4 linked regions of the Arabidopsis thaliana genome follow. The protein of the gene in region 4 interacts with the protein of the main gene of each other region in a pairwise test. Each region holds a gene or a part of one and is shown on either strand. Other genes may lie near its edges. The genes, in order: TON1A, SAC3B, SAC3A and CEN2.

Region 1 (6,861 bases), 1.7 Mb from region 4:
TTGGTACTTCGCGTCGCAATGGTATCTTCTCAACGTGTTAAATAAACCCACATGTGATTTTGTTTCTCTATGCGTCATTTAACGAATCAGGACAATCCTTTCTCTATCTTTTTTTCTTTTTCTTTTCTTTATTTTGCCAAAGGACAACCCTTTTCCATTTAAATTAAAGATTACGATATATGGATAAAACATAGCAACGAAAAATTAGAGAGACCGACAGATTTTTTTTGTTAGTTTTATATTATATTTTATTTATCACACATTTTAGAAGAAATTAAACCTAGTTGTTGTGCTTTCGCATCCCAATATACATAAATCACAATCAACTGAGATTTCGTAAGAGTTGATTTAGGTTATGGTTTAATCTATAAGAAGGAGATACCATTTGCATTTCATCTTTATACTGAAATATTGGTGAAGAAAAGGAGTTTCAAATGGACTGTCATAAATTTAAATAAACCATTTAAAATATTTTAACTATCCTTCTTTAACACATTCATCCTCAAGCCTTTTTTTTCTTCTTCTTTATCACTAGTGGGATGGATCTTCAATTCCAAATTATTGGAGGAACAAGAAAGATGATAATCTAGACCACAACATAAACTATACAATAAAATGATAAATGTGTTATAGTCAATGAATAAAGAATAAGAGAGATGGTGTGATGTTTACACGTTTGGGGCCTAAACCAAAAAAAAAGGATGGGTCCAATATGCCAACTACTACTATTGTATTGAGAGTAGGAAGAGAGAGAAACCTTAATGGAGACAGAGGGACAGTGGGGTTATGTCAATTGTCATATTATTCAACCACTCACCAATCACTCACTCCAAATCTATATCTCTCTTTTTACAAATAATTATGATAGATTTGATGATAAGTTGGTTCTCAAATCCCAGCCGTTCAATTTATCCAGATATGCAAGAAAATATTAGATTTTAAGGAATCGGCCTTTCCTTATTTGGTAAGACTAAATATCTCTGTTCATTCTAGTTCCAATAGGTAAAAGAGTAACCTTTTTTCTTACATTATTAATAACTTGCATTGCACAATAACGTATTACCCTATAATTCACAATGATAATGTGTTTTGAAGTCATCTACACACTTCAAAGTTTATTACTCAATCGAAAATTGAAATATTGTCTACCACTCAAATTTCTTGAAATGGTTAAAATACTTGAACGTGTACTATATGCAAAAATCTCTGATATTTAACTGCTTTGAAATTTTTATCAGAATATTACTAGTGATGGGTCAATTTCTTTGTTAACCTTGTGCTTTATGCACTTATGTTTATAGTCTCTATTTTCTACACCTAAACAACACAATCTATTTGTAGGTTGCAACTCGGACCCAAATTTTTTGCTAAATTTTTTGTTGAAGTCTTATATTAAGCTAGGATTGTGACTTAAAATATGAATAAAACTCATATTGTTGGCTTAAAAAACGAATTAGGATGTTTGTATTTAGTAGGAACATAGTGTTATGAAACCACATCTGATAAACACATGATTTTAAAGTGTTTTAAAAACTATTCTAGCTTCAAAACCAGTTTCTCATTCATCCCGAATCTTTTTTTCCATCACATATATAGTAAATTCATGATAGAATTTTAATTTAACCTAAATATATATAGTTCATAGTTGGTTATGTTCAATCGATTAGAAGGGTTCTGTTGGATCCGAATTCGAGACCTAGGAACTACACCATGATACATTTGGGGAAAATATGATATACGTTAGTAGGTCAAACACAAATATTATCTAAGATTAGCCTCCGGCCAGAAAATTATGGACTTTGTATGTGAGGGAGATTGAGAAGCGATTGCTAAGATTAATAAATATGGGGCTTGTTGGTAGAGTAGATCTATAAAAGGGGTGATAGAGAAACGAGTGGAAACGCATGAAGCACGTTATAAAATTGAATAATTGAAGATTCAACCATATTCTTTGATAATTGGTGGGCATTTTTATTTTATTATTTGTTGTCAAATCTCTATATAAAGAAAAAAAATTGTTTTAACGTTTTCGGTTTAATGTTTGACGCATATATGTGGGAACAGTTTTGGGCGACGTGGTAGCTTCCCCTCCTCGTTTCCCCCAAAAGCCAATGCTTAAAATGACGAGAATACCCTCTCCAAAAAACCATGTGCTCCTAAGTCCTGAACTAGTTCTGATTCTTTTCTTTTAGCTATATAGGGAAGTGAGACTTGCGAGGGTGAGTATGTGACATCAAAATGGAAAACACTAAGCTACATAACCGTTGGACTAAAATGGTAATAAAAAGAAGCAGAACAGAAGTAGGTGAATAAAACTGAGAATGGAAACAAGAAACAACTGAAGAAATCGGATTTATATACGTTTTTGATCATATTCTTTGGTTCAAACTCTATAAATAAGTTTCTTGGCTTCTTTCTTATAAGAAGAATCGACTACACTTTAAGTTAAAAGACCACAAGCAATACACAGTTACAAGAAGAAAGAAAAGTAGTTCCAAGTACTCTCTCTACTTTAAGTTATAAGATCACAAGCAATACATAGTATTTAATAATTAACACAAGAGTCGAGCTTGGACTTTCTTCTTTCTTGGGCCTTCTTCTATTCCGATTCATCCCATTGACAAACCCAAAGCGTTGGATACTCAAATGCTCATTCGTAAACACGTATCCTCATTAGCTTTTTCTTTCCCATTTTGCTTGAATGTAACTAATTAATTTGGTTTTTTTTTTAATTAGTAAGTGTAGTATGTCAATATTGTACAACTAGATGATACTGATCCATTAGAGTAACACTAAAGTTACCAAAGTTTCATACAACTCCAACGACAAGCAAGGTTAGGCCTTTCCATCCAATATTATAATCTAAGAAGGAGCGATTGCCCTTGATCTGACCCAACTTGCGAGTGGAAAATCTAATGCTTATTTGTTCATTCGTTTTCTGAGATTCTATATCAAATAATAGTCAGTCATCACTAGAAAATGCTCAAACAACTAATATGATTCATACACATTTCATATCATATGCTTGGCAATATTGGACCGAACTTCATGATTTTTCTGTCCATGAATGCAAATGTGTTGTGATCTCTGAGTTACATCTCAAAATGTGAACTTGACATCATATTCTCGTTCAAAAAAGGAAGATAAGACAAAACATTTAAGAAACATTTCACAATCATAGGGGGCAAAAGATCAAAATTTAAAATTTCGGACGAGAGTGGAAACTATCAATCTTTAAGGGGATGATTTGGCAAAAGTGTTGTTTTTATTTTTCTTTTACTGTTTTCGTTTTATCATCTTTCAACGTCTTTCTCTCCCGACGGCCAAAAACCCCAATTTTGCCAAATCCAATTTTACACCCAGAAACCCTAATTTTCCTTACTTTGATTTGATTTTGTGATGGACGATTATACAAGAGAGATGATGGATCTCAAGACTTTGGTCACTCGAACCCTAGAGAAGAAAGGTGTCCTCGCTAAGATCCGGGTAAATTCCCTCTACTTCTCTACCATACATTATTCGCAGAAATTTTTGAGTGGAAATGAGAACAGAGAAGTGATTCGTTTGAAATACATACATTACTCTTTTTCTAGGGTTCCTGCTATTCAGATCGAAATGCTCGATATTGTTAATTGCCTATGCATCTGGAATCTTGCTGATAGTTTATTTGTGTTTGTAGGCTGAGCTCCGTGCAAGTGTGTTTGAAGCAATTGAAGAAGAGGATAGAGTGATAGAGAACAATGAAGGACCGCCTCCAGCTCTGTTGGGAAGCTGTAATGATCGTGCAAGGAAGCTTCATGCTTCTCCTTCAGGTTTTTTCTTCACAAGTTTTTGCTTTTATCCTTTTAAATCTTTCCTCTATGAATGGTTTGGTTCTAAATGGCATCTCTTGGTTTGAAATTTTTGTTGAAATGCAGGAAGGTTACTATCTGCGTTGATTTGTGAATACTTGGACTGGGCACAACTTAATCACACGCTCATAGTTTATCAACCTGAAAGCAATTTGGTAATCAATATAATCCCGTTTTCTTTTGCTATGTTTCATTAAGAAGATTGTTGATGAATTTTTCTCACTAATCTGGTGAACTCCTGCAAAACCTATTCAAAGCCAAAAGATTCGTGGAAGTCTGAGTTACGCGACTTTAATAGCAACAATGGTTTTGAGCTCAATAGAAATGGAGATAGTGGACCACTCCTTCTCGATGTTCTTGAAGGGTTCTTGAAGTTTGAGGTATTTCTTTCTTTTTTTCCCCTGAAGATGTTTGCAGCCAAGTGTGAAACAGAACTTTACTATCTATAACTTCTTCTCTTAGTTTACAATCTTTACAACCATACTCTAAACAAATTACAATAGTCCACCTGTAGTATGTGTGATTTATGAGTTGTAGTGTTAACAGTTCCTATTATGTAAGTGAAGATGATCAATACTTTACACCCAAGCTTTACAAACACCAACTTACATAAAATCTTGGTACTCTGTCCTCGCAACCAAGAGAAGAAGTTATAGATAGTAAAATTCAGTTTTCCAAGAAAAATAAAGTCTCTTAGTAGAGATTAGAGTTCTTCAGAGATTTGAAAAACACGTTTAGCAAATTTCCTAGCCTCAAGTTCTCTTCACATCTAAGAATCATGTTTCCATCCTATCATAGTTAAAACCATTATCATCTGTTTTTGCCGTATGCTCCTCAGATGTAGTGATCAACTTTTTTTTGTAATGAATTTTTTCTTCAGAGCATGACGCAGGGCATGGGTAGTAGTTCAAGGAGAGATTCAGAAACAGAGTCGTCATCAAGCCTTGAGTCCAGAAATCCTCCTCGCAGATCATCTGCTTCTGATAGCTTACCTCCTCAACGAAGGTACACATATCTTCAACTTCTTATTATTATGCCAAATCAAAGATCGTTACTCTTCGACATGATTGCTTTATTTACCTTCAAATAAATGGGCAGGCCGGTTTCTGCATCTCAAGCATCGGGTGAGTCATCATTTCCCTAGTTTCTTGAAGTATTGGTTGAAATACGTATGCTTCATTATTTTTTGATACCAAATAAATATGACAAGATGTTACAGATAGAAGAGCCGGGTTGTCTACATCTGGGTACAGAAAAGATGAATTCAACTGGAGACAAGGTAACCAAGATACACATGAAGAGGTAACAAGAGCTTCAGCGGCGCTGGAAAATCTACAGCTTGATAGGAAAACTCGGAACTTAACATCGTCTTGGAGGTAAGCTTTCAAGGAAGTCTCATTGAATCCCACATTGAAATGAAAACAAAGCAAGTTGTGGTAAATCTGATCCATCGGGCTTGCTTGTGTTGTAGGAATGTGAGGGATGGAACAAATGAAGAAGAAGGGAGAGATTGATTTAGGCTTTGGATAAACATTTCAGCTTCTGGATTAGTAGAGTAATGGTTTGTGTACGTGATATATGTATGTTTCTCCTTTATTTGCAACTGCGTTTTCAATTAGCCTTTTTTTTAACGCACGAACCTCTGTCTCCTTGAGAACAAAAAACATGAAACAGTAAAATGTTTTCTTTTGAGATTTGTTATGGGAAGAGAAGAGTTCAGAAAGAAGAATCAAAGAAAGCACAATGTGGTTGAATATTTTCATTCACTTGCTTCTTATTTTAGTGTCTCCAAAATTATTATGTCTCTAGTAATAAACAAGGTTTTTGAATGATGTGTTCACTGTTTGTTTTACTCGTACTTTTTTTTTGTTTTCCCTTTAGTCTTCTCTCTCTCTCTCGCTTCTTCGTTTAAAACTTTAAACTAAAGTATCGAAGAAGCCAACTCTGGATGACGCAAAAGCTTCTCTCAGAACGGCATTGTAGAATTCTCCGGTGACCAAATAATCCGATTGCATTAGTAGGGAATCTGTTATTTTGATCTGATCCGTCAAATTGGCGGTAAGAACAATGGACGATTATACAAGAGAGATGATGGATCTCAAGACCTTAGTCACTCGAACCCTAGAGAAGAAAGGTGTTCTCGCTAAGATCCGGGTATATTTGTTTTTCTCTTGCCACGATTCCTCTGGTTCTGTGACATACTTCATTCAAATTCCGTAGAGAGATTTGAGTACAGAGAAGAAGAGAAAACATACATTGCTTTTCTAGGGTTCGTGCTTCCAGATCTACTTTATGCATCTGGAATCATGTGAATTCCCAGTTTTTGTCGTACTTTGAAATTGAGTCTGTGAAAAAATTGTACCTTCTCAGCTGAATTGGATTCTTTAACATTTGGTTTGGAGATTGAAGATTTGTTTTTTTTTCTCTATATTCTTCTGCTGAAATTTTAGTTGTTTCTGTAGGCTGAACTCCGTGCAAGTGTGTTTGAGGCAATCGAAGAAGAGGATAGAGTGATAGAGAACAATGAAGGACTGCCTCCAGCTTTGTTGGGAAGCTGCAATGATCGTGCAAGGCAGCTTCATGCTTCTCCTTCAGGTCTTTCTCAATTTTTATCCTTCATATCTTCTCTTCACTTTTACCCTTCAGAGACCTTTTCTCTTTGAATGGTATGGTTCTAAATGGCATGTCTTGGTTTGGAAATGCTTTCTTGATACTTAGATATATTCGCTTGTTCGAAATGTGTCTCCTTGTTTTTTTCGGGTGAAACTTTGCTTGCTTCTATTCTTAGGCGATATGAACATTGAGATTTTGTGTAGTTGAGTAGGTCATCTTGATCACTTTATAAAATGTTAAAATGCAGGCAGGTTGCTATCTGCATTGATTTGTGAATATTTGGACTGGGCGCAATTAAATCACACGCTTAAAGTTTATCAACCAGAATGCAATTCGGTAATCAATATATTTCATTTTCTTTGAACTTCTGATATTTCTTTTAAGTACGTTGAAGATG
Region 2 (7,137 bases), about 17 Mb from region 4:
TTGTTCTTTATATTGGTTAATTGAATTACAGGACTTTGATTCGTGCTGGAAGAAACAAGAAGCCTCAAGAGAGTGCGTGTGAACACTGGATGGAGAATGTGAAAGGGCCAAGCACTAAGCATTCATTTTGAAACAGCTTTAACTCATATTCTGCTTCAATGTAAAGCAACTTCATTTTCCTTCTTTCTTTATCCTACTATATCAATTAACAATAGTGTTGGGTTTAGTACATTGATCTTGGGGATCTTTAACGACATATGTCAAGTAACTACAGTTGTCAGTTTTGGGTTTCAATGTAAAGCAACTCATTTTCCTTCTTTCTTTATTCTACTATATCGAGAACTATTAGTGTAACACCTATGTTTTCAACGTCAAAGTGCTCCGATATAATATATTTTAGGAGCTGTGTGTAAACAACATTTCGACTTGTTCTTCTTTCTCGCAAACATCGGAAGAATCCACCGGGAAAGTATCATCTGCCTTGCGCTTCCTCGATTCATTCTCCTCAGATATCTCCATCATCGAATTATCATCATCCGCGTTTTTCAATTTGGAATCCATGTTGGAGTAAACAACCCTAGATCTACGAGAAACGACGACTTTTGTAGTTGATCTAAGTCACGAGACTCGATCGCAACTATTTCAGGGGGAAAAATAATCTATTTTCAAATTTTTCATCACAAAAAGTTGTATTATATATTTAACGTAAGTTGTTTTAATATAATTCAAGTTAACCAGACGAAAAAAATCATTCTATAAAGCGAGACGATACATGTAACAACAATCAGAAACAAGAAAATGAAACTCGATCAAGAAAAAAAAACTTTTAATGTTACAGAGAAAAAGAGGAGTTTAAAGTCTTTAACAAGCTTTACAGCTACGTCTGCAATTCCCAGGGATCTCTGGAGTTCCAACCATATACTCTGGATTCTTTCCACATTCTCCAAGCACTGCCCATCTCTCACAGCTCTCGTTTACGTCAGTACAGTTACCATCATGTGTCAATATCTTATCGAATGAGTCCACGTGGATCCACTTAGTAGCCGACCATTTCTCTCCTTCGATCACTGGACAACCTCCGTGAAGGCTAAAGGGGTCTGGGATTGCGTCTTGTTGGAGGTTGAAGAACAACAGAGCATTCCCTTTCTTCGGTTTCACTAATAACATTACCAACCAATATCAAACACAAACATTCTTAGAGATAACATGGAAAGAACAAGTCATGATTCCTTTTATATATAGCTCACCAGCGATTCCTTTCTTTGCACAATCAGAAAGATCGTCTTTATTCTCAGAAAGCGAGCGGCGAGAGAATTCCTGCGCAGAAATATTCATCATACAGAAAAAGAGTAAAGACCTATTTGTCCACGTATATAGAGAACCAATACAAGATTAGCAATTGTGGAAATGTAAGCGGAAATTGGTGGTATTGTCTGAAAAACAACAAACCTGTGCATCGGGGAAAACAGTTTCTCCACCCTTTGTGACATTGGACAGATACAAGAGAACCGTTGCTATGCGGTGTCCACCACGGGCAATGTTGACTTTGTCGTGGAAGTAGTCAAAGTGAGCATCATATTTCTGACCGTGCTCATATCTCAATACCTGAAGGTCTTCCCCGTTTTCTGTGACCACAAAGTGAAGAACTTAGGAAACAATAATATCTTCTGAAAAACCCTTTCAAGAAACTCAACAACAGTTAAGGTTCCTTGTCAATTGACATTGTGAAACAGAGAGACCACTATTGAAAAACCATTCAGATTGTTAAAGTTACCTTTTGGGAGAAATGTCCATGTTGAGAGCTTGTCCTCGATACCGGAAACAATAGGATCCTGTCATTAAACAAACGAAGCTTCACATTAAGATTGTAATCACACTGAGATATCTAAATTTCTCAAATCTGTTCCTAATAATCACTAAGTATCATTCATCATCCTTCATCCATACACAGAAGTAAATTTATGTCTAGCTATCACCCTAAAACCTTTTTAGTAGTAAACAACAATCACAAATCAACACAATTTGGGGTCAATTTACTAAGATCTCGACTTATCAACATCATTTTATCAAACTCTGATGACCAGTTCAATATGTGTGTGAACTTTTGGATTGAATTATTCTAAAATTTCTATTTCCATCAGATCTTGAGGGGTTTGACTTATCAGATCCATTAGTATCAGAAATCACATCAGAGATTCAGAGTTCTTGAGGTCGAGTGTCATAAATTAGAATCAAGATCAATTCCAATCAAGCCATTCAATGAGATCTGATGTGCCGAATTAAAATTGCACCTTTCCTTTGGAGATAAAAGTGCCGGAGCTGGTACGAACATCACTGACTTGACTCTCGCCATTATCGTTATCAGCAACCGCAGATCTCTGCAGATTCTCTTTCGCCTTTCCCCAAAAAAAAAAAAACCAAAATTAGATACTGAAACTAGCACATTTAAGCCAAAAAGTTTCCAAATTTGAGCTCAAACCCAAAGAGCAAAATTCGCACTCACAAGAGAGATTAGATGATCACATTCCAAGTCCGTCAAAAAACCTTCATACACAAATGCCCTGAAGAAACAGTCAATACACACAGTTGGAGGTTCAAAGTTTCCAAATTTGCTTCATTTCTCACTAAATAGACAAGAGAAAGAGTAAAATCAAACCTGGGCTTCGACGAAACCTGTTTGACTTTAGAAGGATTGATGATAGAACTTGGAGAACTAATCAGACAAGTGGAAGACTGAAGCAAGACGAGCAATATAGCGACGAACAACAACAATCCGAGCCGAGACATCGACATTATAGCAATCGTAGTAATTTCTTGGATCCAGATGATCGAGATCGAAAACTAGAGGATAATTTTATTTATTTTTTCTCGGAAAATAAAGAGGGAAAAAAAATGTCAACGGTCATGAAAAGTTGATGTTCTACCTAAAACAAGGAGGCTCAAGGGAGATGGTGACAACATGCGCACGTTCTTCTTGGTTGAACAATTATTCTTGTTCCTTGACCAAAGCCCATAATAAGCCTATTGTTACTTAAAAGGCCCAACATAAAATTCGGAAATAAAAACGACGTCGTTGGTTTTAAACGTAAAATAATCCTCGCCGGACGGAAGAGGCGTCACCAGAACAGAAAATTCAATTTGCTCCGGTTTCGACTTTAGCCGGCGACGTAATTAAACGAAGGTTGAAGGAGAATTAGAAGAGAGGCAGCGATAATCAAGTCAAGGAATTTTCTCAGAGAATGGCGTTTAGGCCTTTCGGGAAGGACTTAGGTCCGATGAGCTCTAAGCCAGCGCCGTTTACACCGTTCGGTGCTTCTTCAACCACTAGGTGTGCTCTTCATTCTCTATAGATGTATCTATGCTTCAATCGGACTTTTCTTCGAGTTTTGAGATTTTTAGGATTCATTTCACGCTATGGATCTATTATACTCAGAGATTTTTTTGAACTGTCAAATTTACATATATGCTATCGTTGTATTAAAGTGTTTAGGATCATGAGAATGAGAGAAGTATCTTGAATTTTCTATGATATTGTGTTCTATATCACTTAGGCAGTCGGGTTTTGCTTCTTCATCTTCCTTAGGAGAAGCTGCGAGTTGCTTTACTTTGCTTTTTGTTCTTAGATTGTACCTTTCTTTTTTATTCTTACACACTGCGAATGTTGGATTTGCTTGTAGTGATTCATCAATTCAACCACCGGCGTCTCAAAACCATTCAGCCTTTGCAGGACAATCTTTTGGACCTGGTGGAATTCGAAGGTTAGATTAACCTTAGCTCTACAGCTTTGATTTCTTTCTATGCGAGTATGTTAGGTTGTTTCTGAGCCTCCATAGGAAGAGCCTATTGTGCTACTTGTTGTAGTTTTCTTTCGTAAATTCGCTCAGTTTTCTTTCGTAACTTTGGCTTGTAGTGGTCCTTCAATTCAGCGAGCACCACCTCTGTCGGCTTCTCAAAACCCTCAGCTCTCTATAGGGAAACCTTACCGACCAGGTGGGGTTCAAAGGTTAGACATTCTTAATCGTATGGCTTGCTTTTATTCCTTTTCTCTTTCAGTTCTATGTGTCTAATGATGATGTTAGGTTGGTTACTTATTCAATTATTAATTTTTCAGTCTACTCTCGGGTTTTCTTCTTCTTTAGATTCTAGCCTAAGTTATTATGGTTTTTGCTTGCAGTGTTCCTCCAATTAATAGAATACCATCTCCGTCGGCTTTTCAAAATCCATCACCCTCCTCAGGACAACCTTACCAACCTGGTGGAATTCAAAGGTCAGATAACTTACTATTATGGCTCTCTTTTTTTTTTTTCACTCCTTATACCTGTAAAGGATCTTCGGGAACCCAAAACAGTGAAGATGGGATAAACCAAATTTTCTGTTTTCTTTGGCTTTGATTCTTTTTGTAAAACTTCTGCTTGAATCTTCTATATGTTGCACTAATTTTTACGCCGAGAAAGTTATAAGAACACTTTGATGCTATGTTTTTCAGGATCCCAGAACCTTTCAATGGAATAGCATGGGGTCCAGAAGCTTCACGTACAAGCCCCTCTGTGAGACCTTACCAATTTCCTGGAGTTCAGAGGTAAAAGTGTACGTGACATATTTTGACTAAGAAGAGTGTCATTACTCATATGCGGCTGTGTTAATCACACATCTCAAATGCTTTCAGTTTCTGCAATTGAAATTATAGCAGTAGGAAGAAAGTAGAGTGTGGCGGAGTGCTATAAGTTTCTCTGCCTAATACATAAGGGCTTACTATGGCAGCGGCTTTGAAGCTCTAAAGAGATCATTATCGCTGGATTTGGCTTATAGCCTTTAATAAGCAAGCTGCTGGATTTTTCTTAACGACTTAGCTGAATTTACCTGCTTCATTTTTCCTCACAGGCCTAATTTAAATCCTCAATATGGGCACGATGGATCAAGGAATTTCTTGAAAGATCATGGTGAACATAGTCGAGCCACGTCTCCACCTGCTACATCTCACATTCTTTCCAGAATGGGAACTGATGCTGTTGAGATTGGTCGATCACAAGATTCAAAAAGAAAAAGGTCGTTTATGCCATTTCCTTTAGATCAAGGTCATTTATGCCAGCAGGATCTTTCTGAAATAAACATTCTGTCTGTTTTGTATCCCTATCTTATCCTTAACCTTTTAACATCTGTCCTTGTGGGAGTTTACACCTTCCTTGTTCTGCATCATGTATCTTACTCTTTCAGATTTTATCAGTTTGTTGTGTGGCCTAGGTGGTATGAATGAGATGTCATAGACATGGCCATGGTGTTTACTGATATCCTGGTTTTTTTGATGTAACTAATATCGGTCTATAAAATTCTCAATTTTTGTTGCAGTCGGTCAGATATTCTTCCTGACCAGAATATGGGGTTTTCTCGAAGAAATCAATCGCCAGTATCAGGTTTTGAGAATGGAAACTTGGTAGATGGTTTTCAGCCACTTTCTAGCCGAACTTGGATGTGAGCTTTTTATCCTCTTGTCAGTGTCATAATGTTTTCGTTTCTCATTCTCTTTTCGCTGTTGGTTTTGATTGGTTTTAAAAAGGTCATAAAATATTTCATTTTGTGGTGTCTTTACTCTTTGTGGATAATGATTTGAACCATACCTGTGTCTTTGCTCCTTGATCTTTATACTAATTTATTGTTCTATCCTCTCACTAACTTTTGAAACTTATTTCCTGGAACCTTTTCTCATGTTTGTGTAGGCGCTCTCCGTCTTCTGCGGAGAATAATCCGGTGAGGTCGAGGAGCAATCCCAATCAGTTGATTCATCAAGAACAAACCGGAAACTCGTCATTCCCCTATGCACATGAAGTAGCTGAAATTCAGGAAGCTACTAGAAGAAAGTCTTCGGCTGTAGCACCTTCTGATAAACCCCTTGGAGATGACCCCATATTGTCTCAACATGACTCTCAAAGGTAGACAGCATGAATCTCATCGTACATTCTAAAGCTTATTATGTTTTATTCACCCACTCTGTGCCATACGTGTACGTATGAATGGCAGGAGAAATCACGATTATAGAATAGAGTTACAATCCTAAGAAACTTTATCGTTAGCAAATCGGCTTAAGAAACTTTATCTTTAGCAAATCGGCTTATGAGCGTATTCACCTTAAACTTAGATGGTTGCTTGGAAATTTTTCTGCTACTAGCCTTTGAAGTCATGCTTACTTCTCCTGCAGCTTTATCTTAATGCTATTGCAACAAATCTACTTTTCTCTATCTGGTTTGATGTGCCTTTGAGCTTCCTCCTAGTTAAGCATGCTGTTTCTGTGATAGGTTTTCGACATCTCCACCTACGTCAGGCACAAAGTCATATACACTTTCAAGAAGTTCAGATTCTCAATTTCCTGGACAGCCCTCCTCTGTAAATAGTTTCAATAATGCGCGTAAGACAAACAGTTCACCTGCAACAAAAAGGACGAGATCTCCACCTGTATATCCAATTGAAGAGGATATCCCGCGAAACTCTTTCCCTTCTCAAGATTGTACAGAAGGGTACAATATTTAATCACGCAGTATTGACTCTTTGCATTAATCTGTGGACCAGTTCTTAAAGTTTTCTAAACGGTGTGGATTTCTTATAGAGAAGAGCAAGCCAGGGCAAAGAGACTGGCCCGCTTCAAGGGTGAACTGGAGCCTATTGCAGACCGACCTGTTGATATTCAACTTACTAAATCACCTGTAAATAAAACTATGAAGCCTCTGGACAACAAACAAACATTCAATTCGCTTGAATCAAGTAGGGATGCCCTGAAGGGAGATGCCTTGCCTGATTATGAAAACTCGGAGCAGCCCTCTCTTATCATTGGAGTATGCCCTGACATGTGTCCTGGTAAGCATATGCCTGAGACATGCATTAAATTGACAACTGAGTGTAAATAGTCTTTGGTTCATATAATCTGATAAAAAAAGAATTGTGTTGCCAACGATATTTATTTTGTCCATAAATGATGGCTAGTTCTAGTTATAGTAATCTGATCGCAGAACAAATATAATGATGGACTTTTTTCTTCATTTTCCCAGAGTCAGAACGGGGGGAGCGTGAGAGGAAGGGTGACTTGGACCATTATGAGCGTGTGGATGGAGATAGGAACCAGACAAGCAAATCCCTTGCTGTGAAGAA
Region 3 (10,068 bases), on a different chromosome or scaffold from region 4:
TTATCTTGACCAATACGCAGCGATTTAACGCCGTCGTAAGAACCATCATCCCAAACACGCCCGTCTGTACCACCTTGGGCATCCAGCTTGTAAACAGGCGGAGACGTTGTTAGAGAGCCATGTACAAAGTAAACTCCAAGCGCGTCGAGAGCATTACCCGACCGTCCATGAAACCCTACGATCTTCTTTCCTCCATCCTCAATAACGAACTTTGTACCGGTCGTAATTCCAAGCAAGTTTGGACCAAACAGTGGTGACTTTCTACCCTTTGAGGTCTTGAAGACGAGGTTTGTGATCACCTCTGTGGCACATAGAGCCACTCCGCGATAGTTTCCTTCCACCGCTATGATATGTTCGTCCGGATATTGAAGTACAAACTGTTTATGAATTAAATATCATTTCTTCAATCAAGAAATTAAAATTTCTAACCAAAAAAATCAAGAAACTAAAATTCACGAAAAGAACTTATAATTGATCGGAGCTTGTAGTATAATAGTTTGTTATAGTGTTGTAGTGTGAGTTTTAGATATTTGATGTAGAAAATTTGGAATGTGATGAGAGGGTAAATGAAGTGAAGAACCTCTTTGGGTTGTTGAATGATTTTCCCATATTCAGTTGTTACGACTTGGCCGTCTTCCTTCACATACTCGAATTTGACGTAAGTGATACGATTGATATCTTGTCCTACATACACTTTTCTTACACCCTCATATACATCATCGTCCCATTCACGCCCTCCTTCACCACCGTAGCCTGTCAACTTCCGGTAGATTTTCGCCATTTTGTATTTTTTCAAATACTGTAAAATGAATTTTTTAACTAAATTATCCAAATCCAAATAAAGTGTATATTCAAGCTTTATAATGTTTACTAAGCCGGGATCCCGGATCTGTGATTGGTGATACACTAGCCTATTGAATTGCATAGCAAGACATAGAGAGCAATGATCAACTAATGAGTACCTATTTACGAAACTAAAGTTGTAATTTGTATAAACAAATCAGAACTTGAGAGAGAGAGAAGAGAGAACCTGTAAATTCTTGATCTTATTCAGAATGAAATTAAGGAACTATCAACTATGTCTATTTATTGATACAATTTGGAACACGTTTTTGTTGATTCCAATAATTTAGTTATACTTGTAAGTTGTAACTAAATCATGATTGACCTTTTTCTGTTCCCTTTACTTTTCCTTCAAAAAGAATATGAGAAGGAAAACATTTTACAAGGCCAAACCAATCCCCATAATTTGTAATTTAAGTCATATTAGAAGAGAAATAGCCAAACTAACCCAAAATATATTAGAGATCTCAAGAGCATCCTGGCTGCATGTTATCATTCTGGACGATATGTCACGAGACGAGAGGTTCTAACAAATAAAGCAATAGATGATTTTGATAAGAGTCCAATAATACTAGCATATTACAAGTTGTCAGATGGAGACATCCATGATTGTAATGAACAGAGGAACAAAACAATTTTGTTTCACAAAGAAATTTTGTTATAATATTTTTCATATACTGTTTACATCGTCGTCCCATTCACGTCCTCCTTCATCACCGCAAAGTGCCAACTTCCGCTAGATCCTCATCCATTTTGAATCACCAAATTAATCCTTAAAAATGAAAAAAAAACAAACTAAACTATTTGTTAGTCCAAGTATGAATGCATAGCTTTATAATCATTTCCTAAGCTGGATATGTGATTGGTAATAAACTAATACTACCATGACAACATTGTACCCTATTCATATACATCGCAATAAAATACCAAAATTTTCCACTAATCGCAGATAGAGGAATCAACTAATGCATGGTAGGGTAAATATTTATAGTGTGATGTTGATAGCTCTATTATAGGTGTACTATATAAATCAATGACGATATAAGTATACTGTATAGTATTAAACAAGCCCCACACAACAAACTGAAATTGCATCCACATATTCATTTCTCACGTTTATTTCATCTATATATCCTACCCTACTTGCTCATAAACTTTCCTCTCTTGTCTTAAACTTTTAACGTTACAAAGTCACAGCCACAATATTCTATCCTCACCGATATAATAATCACCGCAACAGTATAATCTTACCTTGATATCTATTATATGGATTAAAACCCGATTTCTTACTAAACATTTGACACTTTCGCGTAGAACATAATCTGTACATACGAATTTCGAATTCATATATATATATATATATATATATATATATGTTGGATAATGATTGTTTTCTCGAATATTGTGTCGATTTATAGTGTAGTCATATTTTAGATAGCTACTCCGTTCATCACCAATAGCTTGTTTCTATGGTTAATTTCTTTCACTTATTAGATTTATCTCAACCAATCACTCAATTAGTTTCTAGAGATTGTTGTGATTGCTATACTACATGTTAAGCACTTTTTATTTTTGCCGGATTTCTTGGCCAAAAGGGTTGGCGATAGAAGCAACTACATTAAATTCATGACCTAAGCTAAATTACATGTAACGATATACAATACAAGATTTGTCTAAACTAAACATTGATTCAACCAAAACTTATATAGACTATATATTTAACCCAAATACTTATCATATAAATGTTTTCTTTTTTGACGTCAACACAACCGTAAACATTCGAAATCTTATATATTTAATTATTTACTATGCTTGTTATTTCATTTGTCGACGTTGTTTTTTTTTTTTGCATTCTTCAGATCCACTAAGAAAAGGCAAGTCCGAAAGATAATGGGCCCAATTAGTGGCTATATAAAAACCCGACCCGGAAAGACTAAACCTGATCCGCAACCGAACCGACCCGACGACGCTAGTATACCGTAAAAATTTGACAATCTTCGTCTCCGGCACAACAAAATTGTTCTTCTTCGGCAAGATTCCTCGATTTTCTCCGTGTTCTGTAATTTCCGATAGATTTTGACAACTCTCTTTGATTGTTTCCCTTTAGCTTTTTATTTTTATCTGCCTTTTTTTTTTTTGTTGTTGTTCCGGTTCTATTCGTTTCCTTTTGTTACCTTGTTTTTGGTTTTGATCTCAAATCCTGCTCTGCTCTACTATCTTCAATTCGATTCTTCATCCGAACGAAGAAGACACAAATTGGAGCTTCACTGGTACATATTCTTGACGCTTTATCTCTGATTTGCTATTTAGGGCTTTTCAATGAATGAATTTAGTTTTTCTGCTATGTTCATTGGGAAGTAAGTTCAATCGTATGTGTGATGATTTTTCAGGACGTTGATGATAAAGCATGAATCACGGAGGGAACACTCAGGCCGTAGCACCAATGGACCCTAATTCCATTGAGGTAATTAACAATCTCTTGCGCCTTCTCTTTCTTTTAAGCTTAAATTTTTCCAATTTGCAGATTTATTTAGTCTTTATATGCAAGTGAAATTTCGTGCATTGGTTCAATTTTTGCGAATTGAATTTGTTTATTTTAGTTTGCTCCAGATTTAACTTGGTAGATATGAAAGTTATGCTTGTTGTTAGTTCACCATTGTAATGGTTAGAGGAATTTTGCATGTCAGTATGTTTATGCAGCAGAAAAAAAGTGACTTTGATTCTAGGCTCCGTATGTGAACTCTTGGAACATTTCAGAAAATCAGTTTCTGCTTTAAGAATAGACCTATCATCAATTCTGTGGAGCCGTATGATTTTCACTAGTAATATGTTATGAATACAGCTCAATGATGCAAAGTACAACATTTTCTATTAGGTGTTAGGTATTGTTACGAAACTTAGCTGCTGATCACTTACTTCATGGAAATTTGCAGTTTTATTGTTTGATTCAATCAGATTGATTTGAGACTGTGGGAGGCTTTAGCATCCTAATGTAGTCTTTATCTGAGATGACATTTCTGTTTGTTGTTTGTCTATGTTTCTTTTCACTCTTCAACTTTTTGTTTATGTCTACTTGTTAAATGAAGATTCTCAGACCTTGGCCAGTACTAATGTTTTTTCTTTTATGCAGAATCGATATGGTGTTGATGGAAGCCAAACACAGAAATATTCATATCAATACTCAACTGGGTCTGAAAGTGCCCCATGGACAGGGCATTCTGTTGAAAATCAGGCTGTGGAGAATGGGAACTATTCAAATTCAAACTATTACCATCCACAGCCGACAGGGCCAGCCACAGGCAATGTGCAAGAGATACCGAATACTGTATCCTTCACTATCTCATCGACGTCCGGAACTGCAAATGTGGCACAAGATTATAGTGGATATACGCCATACCAGACCTCTTCTGACCCACACAACTATTCAAACACGGGATATTCCAATTACTACAGTGGCTATCAACAGCAACCTAGCCAGTCATATCCTCAGCCTGTAGGGGCTTATCAAAACACAGGTGCTCCTCAGCCTCTTTCCTCATTTCAGAATCCAGGATCTTATGCTGGGACTCCAAGTTATTCAGGAACTTACTACAATCCTGCTGATTATCAGACTGCTGGAGGTTACCAAAGTACGAACTATAACAACCAAACGGCTGGAAGTTACCCAAGTACAAATTACAGCAATCAGACTCCTGCTTCGAACCAGGGAAACTATACGGATTACACCTCAAACCCTTATCAAAATTATACTCCTGATGCTGCTAACACACATAGCTCTACTATTGCGACCACACCACCTGTACATTATCAACAGAACTACCAACAATGGACAGAATATTACAGCCAAACAGAAGTCCCCTGTGCCCCAGGCACAGAAAAGCTGTCTACCCCAACCACAAGTGCATATAGTCAGAGCTTTCCAGTTCCTGGTGTTACTAGTGAAATGCCTGCTTCAAATAGTCAGCCTGCCCCGTCTTATGTCCAACCTTGGAGGCCGGAAACTGACTCATCCCATCCACCTTCTCAACAGGTTCAGATATTACTTTCATGAGGGAGTAGAGTAAATTTGCGCCCTTAAGCTTATTTGAGTTTAGAATGCTTTTCTGCTTTCAGCTACTTGATAAAATGTGTGTTATTGTCCTTATAAATCAACTAAGTTGGGAAAAGAGTGATAGTAACTGACCTGTTAGCTACCAAGCAATACTGCATAGAGTCAATTCTTAAATGTTTTATTTGCAGACAGTTTAGACATGATCTCTGATTGCTTTCTTTCATGGGGGTCCTTTTTATTGAATACTAACTTAGTAATCATTTTATCATCATTCTCTCAGCCTGGTGCAGCTGTTAGTACATCTAATGATACTTACTGGATGCATCAAGCACCAAGTCTGCAAGCTCATCATCCTGTTCCACCTCAAAATAATTACCAGAGTCCTCTGGAGACAAAACCTTTATACGAGACTCCCTTTCAGGGTCATCAGAGAGCTACATATCCTCAAGAGATGAACTCCCAGTCTTCCTTTCACCAGGCACCGTTAGGCTATCGCCAGCCTACTCAGACAGCACCGTTAGTGGATTCACAAAGGGTAAGCAAAGTACAGATTCCAACTAACCCTAGAATTGCTTCAAACTTGCCATCAGGTTTTACCAAAATGGATAAAGATAGTACAGCAGCCAGTGCAGCCCAAGCACCTGCATATGTTAGTGTTTCAATGCCAAAGCCTAAAGACCATACCACTGCTATGTCTGACGTAAGAATCCTTTATTCAAATCTTGATGACCTAGCAAATGAAGTAGATATTAAATGTTGGCCACCATAAATTTGTGTGTTGAGTAATTGTTTCTTTCTCACAATTGAGTAATTGACATTGGAAACAAATAATGCCGATGCTTGTAGCCTGGAACCTTCCCAAAATCGCTTCGTGGGTTTGTTGAGAGGGCTTTTGCCCGCTGCAAAGATGATAAAGAAAAGGAATCTTGCGAGGTTGCCCTGAGGAAGGTAAATGTTAGTAGGAATTGTAGACGCTCTGGTTGTTGGACTATTGTAGCATGATAGATGATTTTAGTTACACACTCTGCTCATCTTAATATTATTGCAAAATTTGGATGAACTTCTTCAACTTGATCTTTCGAGTAGATTTGTAGTATGTTTAAGATAATTTCATGCCTTTTATGGAAGAAATCATATAGCAGTTATTTGAATACCATGTTAATTTATGGTTGCTTTGCATTGCTAATGCTTATTTTTGTATCTCTAGATTGTCAAAAAAGCAAAGGAGGATAATACTCTTTATACTCGAGATTGGGATACTGAGCCTCTCTCAACTGTCACGACCACAAATGTGACTAACTCTGAGTACGACCTTTTTTCCTCCATCCACTGCTGCCTGCATGATCTATAACTTTCGTTCTTCTATATGATATGTCTGGAACACTTACTTCATATGTTTTGCCCACTAAGTTTTACACTGTGCCATAGGTCAAGCTCCGCTCAGCTCTCTTCGTTACAAAATAAGAGCCCAACAAGACGACCCAAAAGTAGATGGGAGCCGTTGGTGGAAGGAAAACCTTTTGTGAAGCCAGCTTCAACTTTCAGCAGTGCTGTTAAATTTGGAGTTTGGAATCACCAAAATGAAAACAACAAAAAGGTTAACCAATCTCTTCCTTATTATTTATTAATGTCTGGTTGAAGGAATTGAAAAGAAGGCATTTAGCTGTTGGTTTAATGAGGCATTTAGCAGTTGGTCTAATGTTTTAGCTGTTAGAACTCGGTTTTTGCAGTCGTTCTGATAATCGGAAATTTTGCAGAGCTCTGAGAGTTTTCAAAAGGTGGATGCTGCCACTGGCTTCAAGCCCACTTATTCTGGGCAAAATTCTGCAAAAAAAAGTTTCCAGCGGCCTGTCAAGCGACAGCGTTTTTCTGGTGGTGCAGCTACTGCCATTGATGATGAGGCATCTAGTGATAGTGACAAGGATTTGACACCTTACTATTCCAGTGCAATGGCACTTGCTGGTTCTGCCGAGGAAAAGAAGCGACGTGATAGTCGTTCCAAGCGTTTTGAAAAAATTCAAGGCCACAGCCGAGGGAATGATCTTACAAAACCTAAGAATGCAAATGTTGGAAATTTGCATTCTAGAAGAGCCACTGCCTTGAGGCTTAGCAAAGTTTTTGATGAAAGTGGCAGCAGAGCTGTGGAAGACATTGACTGGGATGCACTAACTGTTAAAGGCACTTGCCAGGAAATTGAGAAACGTTATCTCCGTCTGACTTCTGCGCCAGATCCTGCCACCGTAAATATTACTATCTTATATTCTTATACCTAGTATTCTTTTTGACACCATGACTGATATTTTTGATTGACTTATTTTCAGGTAAGACCAGAGGATGTTTTGGAAAAAGCTCTGATAATGGTTCAGGATTCTCAAAAGAATTATCTTTTTAAATGTGATCAACTAAAGTCTATTCGCCAAGACCTCACAGTACAACGGATACACAATCATTTAACAGCTAAGGTACATAACTGACTTCCAATAATGTCGAGTGTTATTGCATGTAGGATTCATTTCCTGTTGGAACGTTTATCTTATTTACACCCAATTAGCATGTTTATAATGGTTCCATGTGCAATCTCAATTTCAGGTTTATGAAACACATGCTAGATTAGCTTTGGAGGCAGGGGATTTACCTGAGTATAATCAGGTTGGTACGCTAGCATAGATTGATAGATCAATCAGAATTTCTAGTTCAAATTCGGTATCAAGCACTTTTGTCTTTTTCGTAATTTAAAGAGTATCAACCACTGCTAGAATTTCACTGGTCTCTCATTTTCTAAAAAATAAAAAAGCAACATAAAGTGTTGAATCAGAGAGAAACTTTGCAAAAGGGAGCATAGTTCTGATGACTGGTTACTATGGATTGTGGCTTTTGTTTGCATTGATTCTGCAATATAATGATACCGTTCCATCAAGTCTTGTAAAATACATCTGTTGTCTATTCCTGAGGAGACTATAACTCTTAGGGTATGTATAGCCTTGCTAAATTGATTTCTATTTTTTTTTTTGTTACAGTGCCTGTCACAGTTAAAAACTCTTTATGCGGAAGGTGTAGAAGGATGCTCTCTGGAGTTTGCTGCGTACAGTCTACTCTATATTACTCTACACTCTAACAACAACCGAGAACTGCTATCATCCATGTCCAGGTTAGTAGTTGTAAAGTCCCATCTCTGGGCTCCTTTTAAGCATGATGCATTCATGGTTCATGGGAATTTTTTTTATAAATTAAGGTTTTGTAGAAATATCAGAATATGGTTTGCTACACAATTTCTTTGAGTTAGTAATGGAATTATTAATGTTCTGTCCACCTACCTGATAGTTGAGTTTTTGTAACATCTCTTCCTACCAGTGCAAAGAGGTTACTACTACCTCTTTGAATTGGGTTTGTATGCATGAGATTGAGTAATTTTGTGACCTCTGTTTTGAAGATTATCCGAAGAAGATAAGAAGGATGAAGCAGTTAGACATGCTCTTTCAGTTCGTGCAGCTGTCACATCAGGGAATTATGTTATGTTCTTCAGACTCTACAAGACTGCACCAAACATGAATAGTTGCCTCATGGGTAAGGGTCATATGATACATGAAAACTCTCTTGATATATTTAAACAATTGAATGAGTAGATATGTAAAGATATGGTGAAATTGTTATGTTTGCAGATCTCTATGTGGAGAAGATGCGTTACAAGGCTGTGAATTTTATGTCTCGTAGTTGTCGTCCTACAATCCCGGTCTCATACATAGTCCAAGTGTTGGGATTTACTGGTGCTGCAAGCGAAGGTACTGATGAAAAGGAGACCGATGGTATGGAGGACTGTTTGGAATGGCTAAAAACTCATGGTGCTAACATCATTACTGACAGCAACGGAGATATGCTTCTTGATACCAAGGTAAGTCTTCTTTTGCATTTGCCATATGTTTGTTATGAAACTTGTAGATCCTTATTTTCAAGATATGGATTGAGAACTGGTTGTGTTATTCCTTGTGCAGGCGACATCAACGAGTCTCTTCATGCCAGAACCCGAAGACGCAGTTGCTCATGGAGATCGAAATCTAGATGTCAATGATTTTTTTACACGTACATGATGAAATATTTTTAATGTTTGTTATAGTCTGATGGAAACAGAAAAAGCAAAATCGAAGTTCATCATATCTTTTGATCTTAAGGAGACCAATGAAGATAATCCAAGGCTCTCTGGCTTCATCATCATCATTATCTGCTCACACACACAATCTCAGGTATGACATTAGGTTTATAATACTTGATAGTCTGTTAGTAGGAAACGTTTGGAAGATAAGTCAAATTTGTTTGTAAAGACGTTTTTGTGAATATGGAAATCCTTATTCTTCTATAAGATTTTGAGATAAGGGAATCCAGGAGACATACCTCTTTTTATATATATGAAAAGAAACCATTTTCATTAAACAATTCAAGGAATTACAAACAGAAAATACAAGTATGTTTTGATTTGGGTCTTCTAGTTGTTTTCACCTCCGCTTGTTCTTGCTTCCTAGTAACAAAGTGAAGTAGAACAAAATCCTAAAAAAGAACCCAAAAGCAACTGTGATGAACAAGCAATTCCATTTACTCAGCTGAACCACACCTTGCTGCCTCAGAATATCTGAACCAGTAGTTAAACAAGTCGTGCTCGATATCGTTACCCCGAGGGACTTGCTCACTGTACCAAGAAGCTTCAGCTTCATCACTTCCGGTAGTTCCCCTAATGGCGTGTTGTCGAAAATCTGAACTCCTCTCACAAAACACTTGGTCGCATCAGAGAACTCGTTCTGTAAAACCGCTTCATACGGGTACTTCACCAATGACATGTAATGAAACCAAATCCAGTAATCCGGGATTCGGTTTCTGTTGATGAAGAATCCACTGAACAACAAGAAGTAAGCCAAAATAGCAACGACGATTGTGTAACCCAACATCACACTAGGAACCACACCTGATAGAAACGTGACAAAGGAGCTTCCTGACCAGAACGAGGCTAAAATGATCAGACAGTAGAACAAAAGGCCCGTTAGGCCTCCATCTAAGCCCACTGCCCAATACGTCGTCGCCGCGAAAGCTACAGAGAGGAAGATGAGCGACGGGAATGAGACGATGGCGTGAGAGAGAACGTATGAGGATCTCCGGTAAGCGTTGTAAGCAGTTTCTCTCATGAAGAT
Region 4 (6,265 bases):
AAATTAAAGTGATTTTGCAGGTCTGCGTATTTCTTTCACTGTTTTTATTAAGCAGATTAAATATTTAGTCCATATTTCTAAAATTCTGTTTATGTATAGAAATTGTAAACTTTTGGGACATGCCATGATACGTTTAATAGATCAAGTTTAATTATATTGTGGAATACGTCAAGAGCTTACATAAAGGATTGTTTTAGTAGTATACCATATATGTGGTAATATCGCAGGTCCGATCCGAATGGTAACAGTAACGTAAATAGTGTAAAATGGGAAAGAGAACATAACAAGGTCTTGCTAGTGAATTAGAATATACAATTTACGTTGAACAAACGGTACACATAAATGAAACAAAAGTTGAATAGTGATCATATCAGAATATCAGATCAATAATGTATAAACAATATCAAATTTTAACTATTTTAATGATCGAAACAATTCTTATAACAAACTTAATTCGTATGACTGTTTTCGATCTTTTGATGATATATATTTTCAAAGGAAGTTGTCATTGTCAACTTGCAATTCAACAGTTTCTAATTTTGGGTGCTGTTGAAACCCAACTACCACATTTTGATGTATTTAAAACATTATACTATGCATCTTTCTGATACAAAAATGTATATCATTAATATGTATTAGAATTCTTAGAACATGCCTATATATCCAATATAGCTCATCAAACACTAACGAGTATAAAGACCATCCACTCCACCACCACATTAAGTTTTTGACTTAATGATCATCGGCTATGTTGTTGTGGTCCAACATAAAGAGTCTGCCGAGTTTGGTTTCACTGTCTAAATTGGAACCGTTTTTGGTTCAACAACTAGTTCACGCAGTAAAGTATCACTTAAATACAGTTAGTTCAACCGGCCATAAAAAAGTTTGTTCTCGTACATATGGATATTATTGATTTACACATTGAGAATATCTACCCATCTATTATTAACAATTAAGCTTGACCTAGAGAAATTCTGATGTAGATTTTTCTGATTATCTTCTCATGGTTAGGAACCAAACCTTACCTTGTTTCTCTACTCGAATCAATCTCTTTATTAGCTTATGTATGGTTTAGTGTTCTCTAACCAAACCAAGAAAAGGATTGGTTTAGTGTTAACATACTGTATTACTAAGTACATAGTTATTGGGCTATAAGAAGCTAACTGGGCCACAAATCCAGAATCCCAATATAAGTCAATGTACATCGTTTGCTAAAATCTAAAAACGGTATCTTTAATCTCAGAAAGGACATTATACAAAGATGATGATGTTACACATAAGGTCGTTTATCTACATCAACTTCAACCCACTAGTTCTTCATATTACATAAAGTCTCATAAAAGCGATTTCGTATCGAACTTTTACTCATAAAATTCCCTTATTCTATGATTAAAAAGGAAGAAATTCCAAAGTTTTATAGTATTTTTATGCAATGCCAACTTGTGTTGCTTCGTAATTCCAGGTACATTACATAATTTAATAAAATTAAAATGAACCAATCAAAAACAAATCCAGGTCATCATCATGACTTGGGCCGGCCCAATATCCCTGAGTCGGCAACACTCTCTCTCTCTCTTCCATTCCTTTATAACTAATCTTCAACTAACTTTTCTCTTCCCCCTAACTTTTTTCACCCAAATATTTCGACTTAATTACCAAAAAACCAGCCATTGATCGTAAAACCTTTCCACCACCGCACACCCCCTCGCCGGGGGTAGTGCGTCGCATACACGCGCCACCGTTACCTTCTACTTCTCTCTTGAAGCAACACTCGTGGTCTCCTGATCTAATCCGCGAGGAAGCTTGGTCAAAACGTCAAGATATCTCCCGCCACCGTCATCTCCGCCGTGGTAAGAGCTTGACCGACGAAGATCTCGACGAGCTTAAAGCAAGTTTCGAACTCGGATTCGGTTTCGGATCTCCCGAAAACGCTGATCCAAGACTTTCCAACACGCTTCCCGCGTTAGAACTTTACTTCGCCGTTCAAAAAAGCTACAACGACGCCGTTTCTAACAAATCAACAACGTCGTCGTCTTCACTCTCCGACGGCGATACCAGTCCTCACCACACCGTATACCAAACCAGTATGTATAAACATACACACACACACATATATACACATACACGATTATAAATTTATAATGATCAAATTTCATTTGAATAGGTGATGATCCGCAAACGGTGAAGACGAAGCTGAAGCAATGGGCGAGAGTGGTGGCGTGCACCGTGAACCAATCGCCGCCGAGATGATAATTTTAACGACTGTTAAACGTTGTGGGGATAAAGGTTAATCCGGAACAGGGTATGTAAATTGAGACGCCAAACAGTCGGTGGAGTCCAGTCAGCGTTGTAATATTACACACACAATAGTAAAATACTAATATATGTTGGACCCAACTTGTTTATAAGTTATATTGTTTATTGTATAATGCATGATTTGATTTGATTTATCTTCTTTTAGTATGTGATATATAATTTTATATATGCAACAGAACACAATTTGCAAAAGTATATTCTCAGATTCTATTGTCTGACTTTTGTCCATGGGAGAGTGGTGTTGGCTTCTCTTATATTCGTTGCTAAGCTTGATAAAGGATTATGCAAATTCACGTGAATTTGCATATAGTGATTAATTCAGATTAACTGATCTCTTTCAGATCAAAATCTTTGTAGCGTAACTTATATATATTATAACTTTTGAAAAGAAGAAAAAAATTATGGCCGAAGAAACGATCGAAATAGTGAGAAAATAGAGAAAGTGTAGGGAACGATGAGGGAGTAAGTAACACATCTGTGTTTTGTCTGATTGTCTGATTAAGAACTACACATAGCAGATCTGTGTTTTGTTATGGGCCTTCACTATTAGGCCCATCTGACCCATATCGTTACCGCTTTTTAGTATGGAAAAGCAACAACAATGTAAAGGAAAGCAGAAACGTTAGATTTCTTTAGACGCGCAAACTGAAAGAGCTTTGATCGATCGATTTGGAGGATTCGTAGAAGATATGGTTCGTTCTTACCTTTGATTCTGTCTTTATTTTTTTTATGTTTAGAGATTAGCAATTTCTAAGGATCTCTAGATAACAATTTTGCATGATGGATTTTTTTTTTTAAGATCTGATTTGTATTTAGCGAATGTTAGAATGAAGAAATTAGGGTTCCATGATTGAAGAAGATTTTAGACGAAACCCTTTAGTGTTAGAGCTGAGATTTTGAATTTTGGATGTTATTATTGCAGTCGAGTATATACAGAACTGTTTCGAGAAAAGAGAAACCGAGACGTCATCATGGATTGACGACACAGAAGAAGCAAGAGATTAAGGAAGCTTTTGAGCTATTTGACACTGATGGTTCTGGTACCATTGATGCTAAAGAGCTTAATGTTGCTATGAGGTAATATCGAGAGCTTTATATCTTTCTGTCTTTGTTTTATGGTTTTGGAATTGATTCTTGATATTATCATTTGTGATAGGGCGCTTGGTTTTGAAATGACGGAAGAGGTATTATTATTTCTTTCGTTTTTTCGGTTTTTTCCGCTAAGATTCGTTGTTTATATCTATGGTTCTGATACCTTGATGTATTTGGTATTGAAGCAAATCAACAAAATGATAGCTGATGTGGATAAAGATGGAAGTGGAGCTATAGATTTTGATGAGTTTGTTCATATGATGACTGCTAAGATTGGTGAAAGAGACACAAAAGAAGAGCTCACTAAAGCATTCCAGATCATTGATCTTGACAAAAATGTATTTACTCATAACTTAGTTAGTTACTTCATTTGATCTTAATTTTTCTAGAAGCTAAACTATTTTTCTTCCAAATTTTCAGGGGAAGATATCTCCGGATGATATCAAACGCATGGCAAAGGACTTGGGTGAGAATTTCACTGATGCTGAGATACGAGAGATGGTTGAAGAAGCAGACCGAGACCGTAAGTGTCCTAAACCTTTTTTCTCATTCTCTTGTGGCACAATGCTTGGTTTGACTAAAGATATATGATACATTACTGAAAACTGCAGGTGATGGTGAAGTTAACATGGATGAATTCATGAGGATGATGAGGAGAACTGCTTATGGTGGTAACTAGAAAGGTTGTTGCTGTTCTTAACGATATTTGATGAGCTCTATTATAGTTCTTTAACTGAGGCTTAATTATCTGTAATATTATTACTGAAGATACATATATCACAGTTTTAATCTATAGCTCATCTTAATGGCAAGTCTTGGTCTGTCTTTGTATCATTATAAGATGTATAAATTGGCAAAATATTCGTAGTCTTAGTGAAAAACTTTAGGAGCTCGCATTGGTTACTTCATAAGTCGTCAAGATTTGGACCTCTGCGCACATCATCATCTAGAAAAAGATATTAGATTTGTCTTGTCATAATACCCTGTTGCATTAAAGTTGTCGATTCATCATTTTTTCTTTCACAAAAAGTGGTACCATTTTATGTCAACCATAAGTTGTAAAGTTACACAACTGTGGAAACTTCACTTACATAACATATCCGACCTTTGAAAGCTTACATCAATGGATTCCAAAAAGAAAAAAAGATCCATTGATCATAACAAAGCATTTTCCTTAGGCAAAGTTTCCAAGTTAGCTTAAAACTTTAAAAGTTGTCGATTCATTGCACAAGGGTTTTGAAACAAAAAAGTAAAGCATAAAAAATTAATTCAATAAGAGTGTGTACTGATTTGTAGAAGCTATAAAGATAATGTTGACAACAGATACATTGGGGCCGTGAATTGGGTATTCTACACCGAAAACCTCACGACAATATTTTTACCAACCATGACGAAATTAAGCATTACCAAAGTCCCCATATAATGAATCCCCAAACGAGTAAAGAGAACAAAATCTAATTATCTAACGAGGATAAAAAGAAGAAAAAAAGGAAGCTAACTGATATATGGGAAAATTGAAAGGAAAAAAAGTCCAAATCTTCTTATGAAGCCAAAGCTGGTTGGGTTATTGGGATGAGTTTATATCTGAACGGACCTGGATGGTGAAGAATCATCAAATTGAGGGGGAAGTGGTGGTGGTAGTAGAGGAAGCAGAGGCACAGCTGTTACCAGTCTGCTTAGCCACATAGATTTGCTTGACCTTTGGGTTATTCGGAAAGCCTCTCTCTCTGGCCATGGGTTGGTTTCTGCCATGGTAGCCCGATCTCCGGTTTTGATGGTGCTGGTGTTGGTGGTGGTGGCTGGGCCCACCAACATGCTGAGACTGCGTGTTCTTCTCCTGAGAAGATTGTTGTTGTTGTTGTTGTGGTGGCTTGAAGCCAGGACCATTTGGATTCTGAGTGTTGTTGCTGTTGGGATCAGATAACGTGGAGGTGGGCTTTGCTGGTGGAGCACCAGTGGTGGAACTGTAAGCGTTTGAGGAGTCCACCATTGCGTCTACAACTGTGGATGCTTGAACGTTGGGATATCTGTTAGGAGGAGGAGGAGGAAGCATGTTGTTGTTAAACTGAGGTGATGGAAGATTGGAGCCATCTGTTCCTTCCTGCTGTTTCTGCATTTGCATCGTTGGAGGACCCGAAAATGGCATGTAAGGCCACCGTGCTCGAATAGGCATCTCCTGAGAAGAAGACTGACCCACACCATAAAATAAATATTAAGTCGATGGATTCTTCTACTAGTTAGCATTATTGGAAATCATAATGATGGGATCCAATACCTGGAAAGGAGATGGATCAAACATTGGCATAGGAAGGTGCTGAAGAGACGCAGGTACAATGTTACATTGCATGGAAGCCACATTAGGATTGTTTACATCACCATCTCCTCCAACCGGAGAAGAAGATACGTTTGGGTTGTGTTTCCAATCTGGTTGCTTTCCAGATGGGATGTAAGTTGTTCCCATGAAACTCAACCCTCCAAACTGTCCAACAGGTGCAAAGTGGTTATAAACAAACATGTGAGGAGGTCCCTGAACGCCAGGAATAGCACCGGGTGGGGTTAGAAAAGGACCCGTGAAACCGGCAGGAGGGGCATAGAAGGAATCTACTCCAGAATGACCCTGCTGCTGCCAGGTCGTAGGTGGACCAGATACTGTTACTGGACCTTTCTGGGACTGTGATTGGGTTGCTCCTGCGTCATGGTGCGGGCCAAAAGCAAAAATGGGTCCTCTTAACATGGGATTCACATCATAGAAAGGGTAATGAGGAGGGCCTGGAGGGAAGTGAGTGATCATTTGGTTTGAGTTGTGTGGACTTGGTAATTGTGGCCACAGAGAGATTGGGGTGTCCACTGAAAGATC

What was found.
Region 1: the proteins of CEN2 (region 4) and TON1A come close enough for resonance energy transfer, tested with the Arabidopsis thaliana proteins (one study listed by BioGRID).
Region 2: the proteins of CEN2 (region 4) and SAC3B interact in a two-hybrid assay, tested with the Arabidopsis thaliana proteins (one study listed by BioGRID).
Region 3: the proteins of CEN2 (region 4) and SAC3A interact in a two-hybrid assay, tested with the Arabidopsis thaliana proteins (one study listed by BioGRID).

The regions. Positions count from the first base shown.
Region 1 is NC_003074.8:20,378,213-20,385,073, forward strand, and holds TON1A (tonneau family protein), read left to right. Parts: upstream 1-3,247; 5' UTR 3,248-3,399; coding exon 3,400-3,486; intron 3,487-3,679; coding exon 3,680-3,812; intron 3,813-3,917; coding exon 3,918-4,006; intron 4,007-4,108; coding exon 4,109-4,231; intron 4,232-4,731; coding exon 4,732-4,856; intron 4,857-4,949; coding exon 4,950-4,975; intron 4,976-5,070; coding exon 5,071-5,227; intron 5,228-5,322; coding exon 5,323-5,365; 3' UTR 5,366-5,666; downstream 5,667-6,861. Other genes in the region: TON1B (tonneau 1b (TON1b)), read left to right, coding at 5,919-6,005, 6,314-6,446, 6,712-6,800. UniProt on the Arabidopsis thaliana protein: Involved in the control of the dynamic organization of the cortical cytoskeleton. May play a role in the organization of microtubule arrays at the centrosome through interaction with centrin 1 (CEN1).
Region 2 is NC_003074.8:1,903,400-1,910,536, reverse strand, and holds the start of SAC3B (SAC3/GANP/Nin1/mts3/eIF-3 p25 family), read left to right. Parts: upstream 1-3,239; coding exon 3,240-3,328; intron 3,329-3,623; coding exon 3,624-3,758; intron 3,759-3,910; coding exon 3,911-4,003; intron 4,004-4,174; coding exon 4,175-4,267; intron 4,268-4,486; coding exon 4,487-4,579; intron 4,580-4,839; exon of another isoform or gene 4,840-4,881; coding exon 4,882-5,046; intron 5,047-5,346; coding exon 5,347-5,469; intron 5,470-5,714; coding exon 5,715-5,927; intron 5,928-6,290; coding exon 6,291-6,509; intron 6,510-6,570; exon of another isoform or gene 6,571-6,598; coding exon 6,599-6,846; intron 6,847-7,037; coding exon 7,038-7,137. Other genes in the region: P4H2 (P4H), read right to left, coding at 862-1,157, 1,248-1,317, 1,450-1,625, 1,775-1,832, 2,292-2,396, 2,504-2,561, 2,657-2,793. UniProt on the Arabidopsis thaliana protein: Component of the TREX-2 complex (transcription and export complex 2), a muliprotein complex that functions in docking export-competent ribonucleoprotein particles (mRNPs) to the nuclear entrance of the nuclear pore complex (nuclear basket).
Region 3 is NC_003071.7:16,420,793-16,430,860, forward strand, and holds SAC3A (SAC3/GANP/Nin1/mts3/eIF-3 p25 family), read left to right. Parts: upstream 1-2,748; 5' UTR 2,749-3,113; intron 3,114-3,233; 5' UTR 3,234-3,250; coding exon 3,251-3,307; intron 3,308-3,973; coding exon 3,974-4,873; intron 4,874-5,174; coding exon 5,175-5,594; intron 5,595-5,740; coding exon 5,741-5,842; intron 5,843-6,101; coding exon 6,102-6,199; intron 6,200-6,322; coding exon 6,323-6,491; intron 6,492-6,651; coding exon 6,652-7,134; intron 7,135-7,215; coding exon 7,216-7,356; intron 7,357-7,483; coding exon 7,484-7,543; intron 7,544-7,911; coding exon 7,912-8,042; intron 8,043-8,064; exon of another isoform or gene 8,065-8,248; intron 8,249-8,324; coding exon 8,325-8,458; intron 8,459-8,553; coding exon 8,554-8,783; intron 8,784-8,883; coding exon 8,884-8,979; 3' UTR 8,980-9,316; downstream 9,317-10,068. Other genes in the region: JAL23 (jacalin-related lectin 23), read right to left, coding at 1-377, 581-925; ABCG1 (ABC-2 type transporter family protein), read right to left, coding at 9,382-10,068. UniProt on the Arabidopsis thaliana protein: Component of the TREX-2 complex (transcription and export complex 2), a muliprotein complex that functions in docking export-competent ribonucleoprotein particles (mRNPs) to the nuclear entrance of the nuclear pore complex (nuclear basket).
Region 4 is NC_003074.8:18,671,416-18,677,680, forward strand, and holds CEN2 (centrin2), read left to right. Parts: upstream 1-2,721; 5' UTR 2,722-3,005; coding exon 3,006-3,008; intron 3,009-3,238; coding exon 3,239-3,393; intron 3,394-3,472; coding exon 3,473-3,500; intron 3,501-3,593; coding exon 3,594-3,746; intron 3,747-3,828; coding exon 3,829-3,931; intron 3,932-4,019; coding exon 4,020-4,087; 3' UTR 4,088-4,346; downstream 4,347-6,265. Other genes in the region: AT3G50350 (membrane insertase, putative (DUF1685)), read left to right, coding at 1,491-1,515, 1,668-2,084, 2,188-2,291; AT3G50370 (uncharacterized protein), read right to left, coding at 5,021-5,596, 5,684-6,265. UniProt on the Arabidopsis thaliana protein: Potential calcium sensor.